Linked DNA regions of Rhinolophus ferrumequinum. The protein of the gene in region 1 purifies or fractionates together with the protein of each later gene. This does not show direct contact. Links are inferred from orthologs where the notes say so. Each region holds a gene or a part of one and is shown on either strand. Other genes may lie near its edges.

The links.
Region 2: the proteins of TUBB (region 1) and ARL2 purify together in Homo sapiens (co-immunoprecipitation; 3 studies listed by BioGRID and IntAct, counting the BioPlex papers as one, with this or other methods). This does not show direct contact. The link is inferred for Rhinolophus ferrumequinum from reciprocal best matches to the Homo sapiens genes TUBB and ARL2.

What each region holds. Positions count from the first base shown.
Region 1 is NC_046286.1:1,311,412-1,319,673, forward strand, and holds the start of TUBB (tubulin beta chain), read left to right. Parts: upstream 1-4,609; 5' UTR 4,610-4,794; coding exon 4,795-4,851; intron 4,852-6,181; coding exon 6,182-6,290; intron 6,291-6,537; coding exon 6,538-6,648; intron 6,649-6,937; coding exon 6,938-7,995; 3' UTR 7,996-8,262. UniProt on the Homo sapiens protein: Tubulin is the major constituent of microtubules, a cylinder consisting of laterally associated linear protofilaments composed of alpha- and beta-tubulin heterodimers.
Region 2 is NC_046294.1:6,581,302-6,589,278, reverse strand, and holds the start of ARL2 (ADP-ribosylation factor-like protein 2), read left to right. Parts: upstream 1-4,391; 5' UTR 4,392-4,480; coding exon 4,481-4,545; intron 4,546-7,415; coding exon 7,416-7,526; intron 7,527-7,620; coding exon 7,621-7,783; intron 7,784-7,977. UniProt on the Homo sapiens protein: Small GTP-binding protein which cycles between an inactive GDP-bound and an active GTP-bound form, and the rate of cycling is regulated by guanine nucleotide exchange factors (GEF) and GTPase-activating proteins (GAP).

The DNA.
Region 1 (8,262 bases):
AAATAAATAAAAGCTTCTTACAACCCTCCAACTACCTCCCCACAGACCAGTACTTCAGTACCCAAATACTGCCTGACCTTTTTCTGGTCCGTGGGCACTACTAAAAATATGCAGTCGTCCTAAGGGCTCCAAGATACACCCCAAGGATTCACTGGGCCTCTCTGTCTCTTCCTCTTCTTCAGCCTCCCAGTTAATAGCCTGAGTGTCCTCCATGATCTGGGAAGGAAACACATTAGCAGCATCATAATCTCTAACATAGGTTCACACACACAGTCTCGGAGAGGAAACTCACAACTGGGGGCAAACCTGGATAGCTATGGAAGTTGAAGCTTCGCTTTATGCCAAGCATTCTGTTGTTAACCATCTGAAGCACTGAAAAAATATTTTGATCATGACACAGAATAAGAAATAAATTTTATCAGGTTCCAAGTTCACAACTAGATGCTCCTCGACTTACAATGTAGTTACATCCCAATAAACCCATAGTAAGTTGAAAATATCCTATGTAAAAAATGCATTTAATACACCTAACCTACTGAACATCATAGCTAAGCCTAGCTTACCTTTTATGTACTCAGAACATACATCAGACTACACTTGAGCAAAATCATCTAATGCAAAGCCTATTTTATAACAAAGTGTTGAGTATCTCATGTAATTTATTATGTGTATCACTTTTGCCATATTGTAAAGTCCCAAAATCCTAAGCCAAACAATTGTAACTTGGAGAATCTCTGTATATGCAAACACACAAACTTATTTATATAGACAAATGTTTTCAGAAACAATGGTTAGCCTTATTATATGCAATACACAGCTAGTTTTCATGTTATTCTATTTTTTTTCTATTCTATTTTTAAATGTCGATTTGCAACTCACTAAATTGATTTAATATCCACTACTGGGTTGCCACTCACAGTTTGAAAAACACCATGTTAAAGGGAGCTAAATTTTGCCAAACATTATGTTATGGTCAAGTATAGTAGCCATACAAGGCAGGAATTTAGGAAACTAAGGCTAAAAATATTAAGTATTTGCTCAGGATGACATATCAGGTAAGTGGAAAGGCAGGAATAAATGTGCTCTGGCTGCAAAGCCCATGCTTTTTACATTTTATCGGACTATCTCAATGTGATCAGATCAACTGACTCATTTAATAATCACAAGAACCCCGTAAAGTATTATTTATCTTCTATATCTCAGATAAAAAAACTGCAACACAGTTGGATTAAGAAACTTGCCCAAGATCACCCAGATTATGTCTCTCCTCTGTTTAATATTCTTTGACACCTTTCCAGGCCCATTGTATAAAACAAAATCTAAACTCCTTAGCAAGAGCCTCCACAATCTGAACCTCATGTCCTGCAATGTATTCCCTGCCCACCAAAACCGACAAGTTCAGCCACATGGACCTTCTCCCCAATCTTTGAACACACTGTCCCTATTGTCCCCCATATCTGCGTGCCTTAAACCAATTCCTTGGCCGGTTGCTCGTAGCTTTCTGGTCCAACTCCTACCCATCCTTTCCGATTCAGTTCAAACCTCCCTTCCTCAGTAAAGCCTTTCCTGGAGTCTTCTCTGCTTACTGGTGTTCCTGATGTATTCACATGTTCCACGGTGGTCAATGGACTTGCACATATCCTGACACTTCTTACTATATTATTACATAACCATTACTTTCTATTTCTGCTTTCACCCGCCCCCCCCAACCCCTCTCGGAGAACTGGACCATCAAAACTGTTTTTTTCCCTAGGGTCCATCATATTCTCTCAACAGCAGTTATTCTGCACCCGGAACCGTTACAAGTATTAGGGATATACATTCATGAACCAAACATAAAACTAACCCTGCCCTCCAGGATGTTACACCATAGAGTCTACTGATGAAAGAACCAATGAAAGCAGATGAAAACTCAAAATAGCAAGAGTGGAATTCACTTAGAGATGCCACCCTAGGGCGAAACCGTTGACAGGGAAAGTAGGACGCCTCCAGTGGAGACTCAGCGGATACCTACGACCCTCGGCTCCAATCCAATAGGCCAACCCCTTTGATCCCCACCGGGGTGGGTTCCCTCCAGGCCCAGCGGTCTCCCAGTGACTTCATACCTAAACTCAGGGCGGGGAGTCAATTAAGGATGAGTATTATAATCCGAAAAGAAAATTTCCTAGTCTCCTCCGCCCAGTCGTACCCAAGGCACGCCCCTCCCGCCCTCCGGGAGAACCAAGATGGCACCCGGGGAGCGGCGGGAGAGGCCCCCAACAACTCACCTACTTTGAGTCCCCGCGCGCGCCACCAATAACGGTCGCGAACCGAGGGGCGCGAGCGCTGTAGTCGGAGCCTATTCGGTGATTGGTTCCGGCTGCTGTCTTTCACAGCCCTGCTGCAAGCCGATTGACGAAGCCCCCAATGCGGAGGCAAGTCAAAGCCCCGCCTCCTGCCCGCCCACTTCCGGCTCAAAGGGCTGGCTTTCCCCGGGAGACTGAGATCGGTTGAGAGGCGGAGGTCGCGTGCGCGCTCAGAATAGCGCACCTCGATTGGGCAGCTCCAAGGGACCGCCCACTACCGCTTCACCGCCCACCGCCCCCTTCCCGCGCAGACATCCAAGCCACGACCAGAGAGTCTCCCTGCCGGTAGCGCCTAGAGGGGCTTTCCATAGTCGTCGCCCGGCGCATCTAGTGCGGCCAGAACGCCCTTCCTAGGTCTTCCCAGACATGGTGGCTGCTGACTCATAAATGAAAATGGGTTGCGGGTTGCAGTCGTGGCCTGAGGCTGCAATTTGGAGAACAGCCTTCAGGCGTGGCGCCTGAGGACTTCTCACTGCGATAGAAGTTCATTTCCTTTTGATTTGGCCCGTTTAGTAAAGTCATGTCATTTCCTCCCTGAGAATACAGCCCTGATAGACTTTTGAGGTCATTTTCCTAAAACAAAGATCCCTAGGCCAAAAGTGAACCGTTTTGCTAACCATCTTAAAGGCTGATCGAGTTCTTCCAAGAACTGAAGAAAGGATGATAAAATCATTTATTTAATTATCTCATACTAAGACAAGAGGATGGTAACAATTTTGACGTGTATGTAATCTAGAAAGTCCTTTTGCTTTCGTTACTCCATTCTGACCACAACAATCAAATAGGCAGAAGTAGATTTTACAGAGGGAAGTGAAGTTCTGCGAAGTTAAATGACCTAGCTAAGTTCCTACAGCTAAGGTAAGGTAGAGACAAATTAAAACAATTTTAAATTCCGATTTTAAATTCTGAACTCTCTCCACTACCACAAAATAACTACTTTCATTGTGATCATGCCCTAAAACATAAAACATTCTGTTATAAGTGGATAGAGGGGTCATACACAACTTGATGTTCTTTAAAAGATGACTGAGAGATGTGTTGAATTTAATGTGAATTAATGATGACCTTGATATCACATGTCGTCTGTTACAGTACTTACCACACTTTATTGTGTATACACTTCTCACCAGATTGCAAGATCTTGGAAGCCAGGAACTAATTCATAATCATTTTTTGTATCCCTAGCTTCTGGTTTGGTGGACACTTAGTATCTATCAAGTGAGTTAATCCCTGAGAAGCATGTCACTCTGATTTGAGCCTATCCAATTTTTCTTCCATGAATCCCCCCCCCCCCCCGCCATTTTAAAATTTCAATTCTGAGGCTCTTGAAAGGTTGCAATGGTCAGTCAATGAAATCAACAAATTGAGAAACCACTCACTTCATCAAAGTGTCTAAGGGCAGGCTGGAAAGACTCTGAAATTCTATCAGGTGTTTCACCCCATAATTCTTTTTGACAAGACCACAGTCTTCAACGCTGCTCCAAGAACCAGATCTCTTACATGGACGGAGACTTCCCGCTTCACAGATCCCAAGATATCAGCTTCTCTAAACCATTCCATTTATTCTTTGAACATACCCTCCAATTACATCTCTATCCTGCAAAGCCCCTGTTGCAATTATCATTAGAAAACATTCTAAACATTATCATTAGAAAACTCCCAAGGAAATAGCAGGAAGGCAATCCCCTCCTTCTTCCTGGGATAGCTGGGGAAGCAGCGGCTTAGTGAAGCTCATGCTTTCGGTCACCAAAGGGCCAGTAGTTAGATAGCAGAGCAGGGTGCCCGTTTCTCACCATTTTTCGCTGAGCTAAGCAGTCCTGTCTTCCCAAGAGCGACCACAGCGGGGAGCTTTCAGGGTGTGCCCACTCCACCGTCCAATGCCTGGCACCCTAGGGTTCCTAATTCCTGTAGATCCCAAACGACTCGCTTTTTGCATTAAAAAAACAAAACAAAAAACAACTCAGGCATAGAGGAAAGTCATCTTGGGCAAGGTCATTTTTCAAAAAAACGCCAAAAACCTAAAGCCAGTGTCCACCCATTTGTCCCTTCATTTTGCAGCGTGGACAACAATAGAGGACTACAACTCCCAGAGAAGACTGCGCTCGCCCAGAGCAGAGACCAATGGACATAGACTACCTAAACGGCATCGACTAATCAGGGCCTGCCTCGCGGAGGCTTTGTCTCGCAAGTGCTGCGCGGGAGCCTTCTCCCGCCTCCCAGCCCGGCGCACGCGCGCCCCGCCCTGCCCGCCTTCCCTCCAGCGCCCTGCCCTCTTCTTTCTCCCTCTCAGAACCTTCCTGCCGTCGCGTTCGGACCTAGCTGCTCCAACCTCCGGGGCGCGTCCCATCCTTCCAGCCTGCGACCAGCAACAGAGAAAAAAAATTACATATTTTCTTGCCCCGTACACACCTTGAGGCGAGCAAAAAAAAAAAAAAATTAAATTTGAACCATGAGGGAAATCGTGCACATCCAGGCCGGCCAGTGTGGCAACCAGATCGGTGCTAAGGTAAAGATTTTAAACCTTTTTTAACTCTTACTTCTTTTTGAGAAGAAAAAAGTACAAATTATGGAGAATGGTTGTGGGCTGTTTGCAGTCTCCATCCTTAGTCAATATTTGCCCCAAAGAAGTTTTATATGTATAACACATATTTGTAGCTATAATTTGCATTTGAAAAATGGAGAATTATTTTTCTTGACACTCATTTTGGGAAGCTATCAAAAGCACCCTTGAGGATTGGGGGGCGGGAAGACCGAGGTTCTGTAAGGTTTTACTTAAAGGAGATCTAACGGTCCGAGGGCCAGGGAGGGAGGGAGATGCGGAAACTCGCCGAGACAAAGCAAGGCGAGGTTCCCCCATGTGCATCCAACCCCCTTGGCGGGTCTTCGTAGGGCCAAGCCCGAGGGCGAAGAGGGGAGGTTGGGGGTGGAGAGCTGCAGTGCCCGGCTCCATAAAGGTGGGGGACGTGGTGCTGTAGGGTGGGCTGCACTGCGCGTTACCTCTACAAAAGAGTAGATAGAGATCTCCACGCGCCCACGATCCCCGTGGGGCAGGCCCATAGTTTTTCGTGGGTGGAAGGCTAATATGTGCTGGATTCATTTTGCTTCCTTTATTTCGCTTTAAAGAGACCCTTTCGGGCTTGGACAGATAAGAAAGAGGGCGGGAGAAGGGTTTTTTTTCTCTAAAGGGTCTCTCGGGACTAAATGGAAAGAAGAGGATCCTCATTTTAAGCAAGAGGGGAAAGCTAGTGAAGGGATAAAATTCCGAGACCAAGAGGGGATTTTTTTTTTTTTTTTTTTTTTTTTTGCGCGCGGGTACAGTGTAGCCGGGAGGAAGTGCGGCTGCTACGTTGTAGCAGAAGGGCAGGGCCCTGCAGGGCGGGGACTGTGGCCCTGCCGGCCACCAGGTGGCGCGCTAGCCCGAGCCAGGTCCCGCCCCTCGCGCGCTGAATTCGCGCTTCGGCTCCGCCCACGCGCGACCCCTCCCTTTGTCGATGGCTGGGCGCGCGCTTTTGCTACAGTCTTGTGGGCGGCTGGCGGTGGGCGACTGCGGCCCCTGGTTACCCCGGCTCTTTGTGCGCGGCGTGGAGGGGCGGTGCCCAGCGTGGGGGGCGAGGGGTACACTTACCTAATCAGGTTGGCTGCCTCGGCCTAGCCGGGTGTCTGCGATCTCCAGGCCTTTCCAGCTGGACATCATTTCACATTCCAAGCAGTGAAAGCTGCAGCTTTCCCAGGTGTGGGGGTGCCTAGGGGAATGGCGTGGCTGGCAGTTAGGTGGAGGCAGGGTCATAATCGGCTGGGACCTGAGACGTTGACGGTTCATTGTTCTTTCTCCACAGTTCTGGGAGGTGATCAGTGATGAACATGGCATCGACCCCACTGGCACTTACCACGGCGACAGTGACCTGCAGCTGGATCGCATCTCCGTGTATTACAATGAAGCCACAGGTGAGGGAAGGAGCTCCGGTCTCATCTCCTTTCCCACTTCTGGGGTCTCCACCCTTTGGACGAATCCATCCTCTCCCTTTGGAGATCTTCCTCTCTCTGATTCCCACCACCCATTGCCAAAGGCTAGCTCTGCTGCCACCTGGTGGCAGCGCCTGGAATCACAAGTTTAGGTCCCTAGCTGTCACCCAGCCCCAGTTTATTTACCTTCTAGGTACTAATTTTCCCGGCTATACATTCTTACACGTAGGTGGAAAGTATGTTCCTCGTGCGATCTTGGTGGATCTAGAACCCGGGACCATGGACTCTGTTCGCTCAGGTCCTTTTGGCCAGATCTTCAGACCAGACAACTTTGTTTTTGGTGAGTTACACAGATATTTGTAGATACCATATTCAATTTATTTGTGTGCAAGGGGACAGCAAGAGTTAGGAAATGATTGTTGTGCTTGAGAGTTTTTATAGGGCTGTGTTCTGGGATGTAATGGAGGGTGGGGGTGTGGCTGCCTTAGATGGTAAATTATGGGGGTGATATATCACTGGTGAGGGAGGAAAGTAGATCGATCCACAGGCATTGTTCCAAAAACTGAAAGGTGGAAACGTGGTTGTGTATGTGCCACATTTTACTAATCAAGCTTGCCTCCTGATTCCAGGTCAATCTGGGGCAGGCAACAACTGGGCCAAGGGCCACTATACAGAGGGGGCCGAGCTGGTTGACTCGGTCCTGGACGTGGTGCGGAAGGAGGCTGAGAGCTGTGACTGCCTGCAGGGCTTCCAGCTGACCCACTCGCTGGGGGGCGGCACGGGGTCCGGGATGGGCACACTGCTCATCAGCAAGATCCGGGAAGAGTATCCCGACCGCATCATGAACACCTTCAGCGTGGTGCCGTCGCCCAAGGTGTCCGACACGGTGGTGGAGCCCTACAACGCCACCCTCTCCGTCCACCAGCTGGTAGAGAACACTGATGAGACCTACTGCATTGACAACGAGGCCCTTTATGACATCTGCTTCCGCACCCTCAAGCTGACCACACCAACCTATGGGGACCTGAACCACCTCGTCTCAGCCACCATGAGCGGGGTCACCACCTGCCTCCGCTTCCCTGGCCAGCTCAATGCTGACCTCCGCAAGCTTGCAGTCAACATGGTGCCCTTCCCACGCCTCCACTTCTTCATGCCTGGCTTTGCCCCTCTAACCAGCCGTGGAAGCCAGCAGTATCGGGCCCTCACTGTGCCCGAACTCACCCAGCAGGTATTCGATGCCAAGAACATGATGGCCGCCTGTGACCCCCGCCACGGCCGCTACCTGACTGTGGCTGCCGTGTTCCGGGGCCGCATGTCCATGAAGGAGGTGGACGAGCAGATGCTCAACGTGCAGAACAAGAACAGCAGCTACTTCGTGGAGTGGATCCCCAACAACGTGAAGACAGCCGTGTGCGACATCCCACCCCGCGGCCTGAAGATGGCGGTCACCTTCATTGGCAACAGCACGGCCATCCAGGAGCTGTTCAAGCGCATCTCAGAGCAGTTCACGGCCATGTTCCGGCGCAAGGCCTTCCTGCACTGGTACACAGGCGAGGGCATGGACGAGATGGAGTTCACCGAGGCCGAGAGCAACATGAACGACCTGGTGTCCGAGTACCAGCAGTACCAGGATGCCACCGCAGAAGAGGAGGAGGATTTCGGTGAGGAGGCCGAAGAGGAGGCCTAAGGCCAAGCCCTGTCCATCACTCAGGCGTCTCAGTTCCTTCATTCAGCCTTCTTCCTCAGCTGCCCTTTTACTCTCCCTCAGAATTTGCATTTTCTGCCACTATCTTTTTTCTTTGGGGGGGTGGTGGTTCTAGAACAGTGCCTGGCACATAAATGGGCGCTCAATAAATATTCGTTGTTTGTTGAATGTCTCCTCTCTCTTTCCACTCTGGGAAATCTAGATTCTTCTCATTCTGAGTAATCTTGCCTTTCTTCCTGGTGTCCATTC
Region 2 (7,977 bases), on another chromosome or scaffold:
TACACAATAATGAATTCCACTCAGCAAGACACCGCCACAAATCGACACGAACACAGCTGTGAGACACTGACACACCAAGGTTATGAAACCTTACTGAGCTGTGTGTACAGCGCTACCAATGTAAGCGCGCGGTGGCAAGTTTGTGAAGTTAATTGTCAGACCTTGTATAGTGCTGTACATCAATTATTTTTCAATAAAACTAAGGGGGGGGGGAGTGCAAATCCCAACCCTTGTGGAGCTATCATTCTAGTAGGGATGGAGGGATGGGGAGAATAAATGTAACCAATTAAGGGAATTACACAGGCTAGTAGAGGCCTTAAGTGTCATGGGGGAATGAATATAAACCAAAATAAAGGATTTGGGGAATGTGGATGGGGGATGAGTGGTTTCAACTTTAAATAGGGTGGTCAGGACTGGGCCTCACTGAGATATTGAAACAATAAATTTTTTTTGAGATATTGGACATTTGAGCAAAGCATTGAAGAGAGGGAGGTAGCAGGGAGGTATGGATTAGGGGCAGCAGGAATGCGCTGGTGGATTGGAGAATTGATAAAGGGATGAGGAGAGAAGCAGGCACTCCCAGTAGAGAGTTGCGAAGGCAATTCATGCAGGTCCTCATTGGCCACTGGAGAACTCGGGCTCCGACTCTGAAAGATACAGGGAGCAGCCAGGGGACAGCACACAGCCAAGGGCTTTAAGCGGAGGAGGGACAAGATTGGTGCACCGGTTAGAAAGGTCCCTCTGCCTTGGGGAAGAGGAACGGCGAGAGGCTGCTTTAGCCATCTCGGTGAGTGGAGCTCCTGGCTCATCTGTCAAGTGGAGATAAGAGGGTACCTGGCTCTCAGGTGGCTGAGTGAAGGCTCAGCAACTACTCCCTCCTCACTCCCCCATCTTGCCCTGTAGCGACAGGAAGCATCGAGCAGCCTGTGGAGGATGCCACAGGCACAGGGGAGGTGAACATGGACGTGTTATTGGAAGAGCTCAGATTTCCAAGTCCTTCCCCCGCTCCTCAGGTTCTGAAAAAGACTGGAGATGTCACGTGCCCTTGGATGGATGACAGGGGTGTGAGGAAGAGCTCATTTCGTTATCTGGAAGTTGGAAAGGACACCTCATCTGCCTCCCACTCCAGGCAGCTGGGTTGAAACCTATAAGGAAGATGCTTGAACACTCTGACTTGTTCTTTGAAGCATTCAGCTGTGGCTTGCTCATTGTATGCACCAAGTGGGGACAGGGCCACCCTTGGATTCTTAAGGCAGACAAGGAGATGGCGTGGGAGCACTAGAGCAAGCCAGGGCAGAACTGGGGTCCATAGGCAGTTGCCATTCCAGGGATTAGGGGGCACACTCTTTTCCCCTGGCTTTCTTTGTTGTTGTTGTTCCAGGATAAAAAGAGTTTTGTTATTTTTCTTTTATGATTAAAAAGGTGATACAGGAAGTGTATGGATGGATCAAAGAGGCTATATCTCTTAAAATTAAAACTATAATGCCAAATTTTCTTCCCCACACATTGGGTAACACACCTCTTTAAAAAGCATCCCGGGGGCAGCCGGGTAGCTCAGTTGGTTAAAGCGAGGTGCTCTTAACAACAAGGTAATGGGTTCAATTCCCACATGGGCCACTGTGAGCTGCGCCCTCCACAACTAGATTGAAACAACTACTTGTCTTGGAGCTGATGGGTCCTGGAAAAGCACACTTAAAATAAATTTTAAAAATTTAAAAACTAATAATAAAAAATAAAATAAATAAAAGGCATCTAGAACTCCATCCTCAAGTTACAATCCACTTACTTAGCCCTAAGAAACTCTCCCTTCAAAAGCGGGTTTCACAGCTCTCAGGATTTGGGTATTTTAATTTCACGATTCTTTCTCGTGAATATATATATTCATAGCTATATATAACTACAGCTCTAGAGATCTTCTTTCCCAGTTTTCTTCCAAACATATTCCCTAGAGATTTTATTTCCTTAAGAGCACCCTTTCCTTCTTTCCAGAAGGCAAATGAAAACACTGCCTGCCAGTAGGCTCCTACGTACACTTGTCTTTAAAAGCCCCTCTTCCCCCCCACCCCATTTCTAGCTACATGCAATTATTATTCAAAACAACTGCTTCCTGGTCTCCGACTATTTTACAGAGCTTCCAGGTTGATTTTTCAGTTGATATTCATCGTTATCTACTATGTGGACCCGGGGAAGCCGCAATAACTGCTTGGAACTGGGCAGGGCCGGAAGCCTGACATTAAAACAAGGATTTCAATGCTCATGGCAGTTAGTAACGTAAAACAATCCAGAAGTGCTTCAGGTAATAATTTGAAGTCCCCCTCAAACCTGTTCCAGAAGTATCAGTTGAATTGCAGTGATTTTCAAATTTTTGTGACTGACTCTTAGTTGAGAAGTACATACATCCATATAAATATCTGAAACACATTTTAACAAACACTATAAACTTTTACTTAATGGGCAAAGGCAGCAATGCTTTCTGTTCTGTTCATTCTATTTAATTTTTGCTAGTGCTTCTAGGTTGAACACATGAAACTGACTGATATCTTAGTAGTCAACATGGGCGATTACATATGATTCAATGTATTTGTGACACTAATTTCACAATCTCCTGAAGGGGCTGCATACCACAGTTTGAAAAACATTGTTTAGTGAGTTATTGTCATTTTAAAAATTATAATGGTACTAAAGTTCACTTAATTTGGCATGGACATCTTTCCACGCAGGCACATTATAGCTCCACCTCTCCTTTCTCAAAGGTTTCATGAAACCCCCCCACACACACACACACACATGTACCCCAGCTTAAGTAACTGATCCCCACTGAAGGCACTTAGATTTCTTAGGAACCAGGAAAACAGTGCACTTTCCAGTTCAGATCTGAGTTTAAATTGCTGTCGCAGCTCCTTCATTCTCTGGACTCCACTATCACATCTCCAAAAAGGAAACAGACCTCTCAGGGTTGTCAGGAGGATGAAGTAGAAAATGTGGAGTACTTTATAAACAGTCACACAGAAGCTAGCCATTATCTTCAGCTGGTGCCTGACTGCCCCAAGCATTAGAACCTTCTGTGTTGCCCACTCACATTTACCCTGTGGTAGGCTGGGGGAAAGGGCTCAAAATAAGACAATAAGGCTCACCTTTTTGAGTTTACACTCTGCCTAGTCCCTGGCCTCAGTTTCCTCATTATTTTCTGGACTCAAGCACTAAGGTAAAGAACCAAACTCTTGGATAAAGTCATTCATTCAACAACAAATATTTGAATATCTACTATATGCCAGTCAGGGTGCTAAGCACCATGTGAGCCTTAACTTTCTCATCTGCAAAAGAAATAGACAAATGATGGGCACATTGGGTGGGATAATTCTTTGTGCAGGTCTGTACCCCGCCCTCTAAGTGACAGGGACCTCCCTGGTAATTGGGACAACCCAATGATGCCCTGTCACATTTTGAAAACGCCCTTCATGGCATTTTCTCCCTTGATGGAGAACCCCCGCCCTCCCTCTATGACTCCAGGTGCCAGGGAAAGGGGGAGGCCTTGTAACTGGCAGGTTCAGGATGACACCCTAGGTCCAACCAAGATGAGGAGGATCTGGACCATGTTTTCAGGGAGCAGAGCTGCTGGTCCCGTGCCCCACACAAAAACGCAGGATATGGTGAGGCCGAAAAGGAGCACCAACGGAGCCATAGATAGGGGAGTCATACCACTATATTCTCAATGGCGGCTGGTTGAGACACAAAAGCAAACATCCACCAGTACCCCAATGCGGGGTCTTCCTGCACCCCTCTCTCTGGCAGCCAGGCGAGACACTGGAAGTAGGATTCACACGATCCGCAATCCATCTGCTTGCTAACCGCACTTGCCAACCACAATCCGAAGTCACTTCTCTGCCAACCAACCCCTTTGCGGAGCGAGGACAGTTATATTAGTGGCTGATGGCTAATCGGTAACAGCTAATGCCCATCTGATTATAGCTGATGGCCATCTAATAACCAAGCCAGCACCTTTCCACGTGAGACCAAGAGCCTGGAAACTGCTCTCTGGGACTCTGTCTCCACAGAGCCTTACACTGGCCAAAGGATAAACTCATCAACAATCTTGGGGCTCTCCATTGGTTCTGACTCCTGCCTCTTCTTACTTCCTATGCAGCCAAAACACAATCCAGGAACTTCAGGTTTCCGTTCCCATTTGAGCCTGGGGTCCTGGAGAGGAAGGAATGGCGGTGCTCTCGTCCTTCAAGCCCTCGGTATGCGAAGGGTTAACTGCAGGTTGGTGAAGAGTTAGCGCAGAAGTCCCCATCACCGCTAGAGGGACCTTCGCAGAGGCACCAATGGGTGACTTCGCGGTCACGTGGGAATGAGGGCGGGACCAAGCGAGGGGCCCGCCAATAGGCTGTGTTGTCAGTGGGCGTGATAGCCAATAGGAGCAGGGCGAGGGGTCCCGGGACTAGGAAGCAACGGCGGCCAGGAGGGGGTTACGGGGACCATGGGCCTTCTGACCATCCTGAAGAAGATGAAGCAGAAAGAGCGGGAGCTGCGACTACTCATGCTGTATCCTCCCGGACGCAGAAGCGGCCAGGGTAGCGGGGCCCCGCCGGGCAGGCGGCACCAGGCGCCCCCTACCGGGCGCAGGGTGAGCGGCCGGCCGGCCCGTCCCAACTGCCCATTGTGCGTCACGCACGTGGGGACTACCAATCACTTGCGGCGGGGGCCCGGGAGGAGGCCGTACCATCGACTCGGGGCGGGGGAAATCCGTTTTCAAGGCAAAGGTGTGAGCCTCATGGCGCAGCGGCCGCACCAGGTGCCCCGGTGTAGAGGGGAAGTGGGTCCTGGAGGTGACTCTGACGCCACACCACCCTTTGGTCTGGCCCAGGCTTGGGGCCTCGGTTCTCCTGGGCTCTAACCTCCTCCCCCTGCCCGTGGGGGCCGGCCTCAGGCCCGGGCCCCGCCCTCAAGGTCGGAATCCCGGGGGCGTGAGGGCACCGTCCTCAGCTCCCGGGAGAGGCGTGTGTGGCCTCGGTGGGTTCGTTCGCCAGTGGGTCCAGTAGTCGTGTTTGTTTGCTGCTGCACGACCCCGTGGTTTTTGGCTGACGGGTTGTAGGCCCGAGGGCCCCGCCGACCTTCCGAGTCCCATTAGCAGGCGTCTGTATTACTTTGTGCCAGGCCCCGCGTGGACTCTGCCATCCAAGAGCTGGGCTGCCCTCACCCCCAGCTCCCCTAGCAGGGAGAGAAGACACGTGCACAAATAACTCCAATAATATTCACATCATGTCTGTTTAAAGAGTTCTTTGAAAGGCTCAGAGAATTCACTCATCCAATAAATATTTTTTGAGCACCTACTCTGTGCTAGGCACTGTCCTAGGGGCTGGGGTAAAACAGCAAAACAAAAACAACCCCTTCCTTCATGGACATTATATAATGCTGGAAGGAGAAAGATGTTAACAAAGCAAATAAGTAAAATATATCGTATGTATGGAGGAGGATGCATTTAAATAAGGGGGTTAAAGAGGCCACGTTAAGAGTGAATCGGAGGTGAGGGACCGAATCATGTAGATATCTGGGGGAAATTGTTTAAGCAAAGGGAACAGCAAATGCAAATGCCTGGAAGGATGAACTCAAGAGGGTCTTCAAAGGAATGTTAAGGAGGGCAGTGTGGCAGGAGGAGAGTACTAGGTTAGGACAGAAGGGTGATGGAAGGGCCTCACTGTAGGACCTTTCGCTTCTTGGCTTTTCCTTTAAATGAGAAGTGTGGAGGGGAGATGTGCTCTGAGAATAGTTAGGCCACTGCAGTATCGCGGATGAGATAGGATGGTGGCTCAAACCAGGTGAGATAGATGGTGGCTCAAGGTGATGGAAGTTGGGGGCATTTTGACAGTAGGCCAGCAGGAATTGCTGGGGAGAGAGAGAGAGAGAGAGAGAGAGAGAGAGAGAGAGAGAGAAGTCAAATATGACTGCTAGGTTTCTGGCCTGAGCAATTAGAAGAATGAGGAGCCATTTGCTTGGATAGAGAAGCGGGCAGGGAGCAAGTTCAAAGGGAAGATGGGAGTTCACTTTTGGCAGCTGGGTGAGACATATACATTTGGGAGTCATCAGCATAAAGATGGTATTTGAAGCTGTGATCCTAGATGAGATCATCAAAAGCGTGGACAGACGAGGGAACCGAGGTGTTCCTAGTTCAGGAGGTCAGGGAGATGAGGAGTGGCCAGATGTGTCCTGGAGTGGAGGAAGGCACAGGCTACTCGGTCAGGTGCTGCTGGTGGAGCAGAAGGATGAGGACTGAGGACTGCCCAGCCCTTGGAGGGCAACATGGGGGTCCTTAGGGACCGACATTGGCAAGAGCAGTTGTGGGGAAGCAGGGCGAGCAAAAGCCTCATGGGTTCAAGAAAGAGCAGGAGGACAGAAATTGGAGAGGATGAGTGTGGACACAGGAGTATGGATTTGCTGTAAAGGGGGGAAATAAAGGAATAAGTAAGGGGGGGAGGGATAGAGAGGATGATGTTTGCTGCTTCTAAGGGGGGAGAGACGCCAGAGGGTATCAGTTGAGGGGAATGATCCAGTGGGGAAGGAAATGTGAATGGTGGAGTTAGGGGTCAGGGAATAGTCAGCAGCCAATGAGCAGGGGCTAAGTCTGAGTCTCAGGAGAGGTGCTCTGTCACCCCCACGTCACTAGTTTGAATCACCCATGTCAGGTGAGGAAAAGGTTACTGAGTCTAAGGCCTGGGCCCCCCTCCCAGCTGCAGACCCCTTAAGTGCTAGAAGGAAAGAGGAGGGTGGTTCTCTCTGGCTGGTGAGCTCACGCACTTGTTTGTACACTCACTCAGCAGCAGGGTTTGGAAGAGTCCTGAAACAAGGTCACCCGCTGCCTCCAGACACTTGCTCTTGCTGTTCCCTCTGTCTAGAACACTCTTCCCCCAATGCTTCAAAAAGCTGGCGCCTTGTAGATTGGACCTCAGCTCAAAACCCTCAGAGAGGTCTTTCCTGGCACCCAAGCTGAAGGAAGCTTCTCCGATGTGATGGCCCTCTCTGAAAGCCTCCTCCTTGTATTTCTAACACGCACCAGGACCTGATAGTACCTTGTTTCTCCTTGGTTTGTACCCTGTCGACTGTCTCTGCACTAGAATGTAAGCTGCACACAGGTAAGACTTTGACTCCGGGGTCCCCCAGCACCAGAAGAGGGCCTGGCATTGAGAAGGTATTCAATAAATATTGCGGAGTGAATTCAGGAGTCTTTGGTCAGCAGGAGATGATAAGATATGTTTCTTGATACTTTCACATTTATCCTGGGCCGATTATGGGTCAGGCATGTGCTCCACTGATTTTGATAGGTGGTAGGAAATTATTTATCCCCTAAGAGAGGGGCACTGTGATGATTCACCACCCTGCAGAGCATGGGGGTTTCTCCTTAACCTGGCGCGCCCCAGCGGCCTGGACAACGCTGGCAAAACAACCATCCTCAAGAAGTTCAATGGAGAAGACATTGACACCATCTCCCCAACGCTGGGCTTCAACATCAAGACCCTGGAACACCGGGGGTGAGCAGGGTCCCTGCGGGCGGGCAGCCCAGAGCAGGGTGGGGAGGGTGGGCGAGGGGCCAGGCTGACCTTCCAGCCACCCCTCCCTGCCCAGATTCAAGCTGAACATCTGGGATGTGGGCGGCCAGAAGTCCCTGCGGTCCTACTGGCGGAACTACTTTGAGAGCACCGATGGCCTCATCTGGGTGGTGGACAGCGCCGACCGCCAGCGCATGCAGGACTGCCAGCGGGAGCTCCAGAACCTGTTGGTGGAAGAGGTGGGCAGGGGGCCTGGCTGAGGGGGGCTGTGGGGGGAGCCGGGCTCCCACCTGTATTCAGGCCCCGACACTTTGTGCACATACGTGGATGTGTGGACACCTTCCTCAGCAGATTCCCTGAGGGCTCCATGACCCCAGAGAGACACCTATGGCAGGGTCTCTTCCTTCCCTGAGCCCTCACCACATGCCCAGCA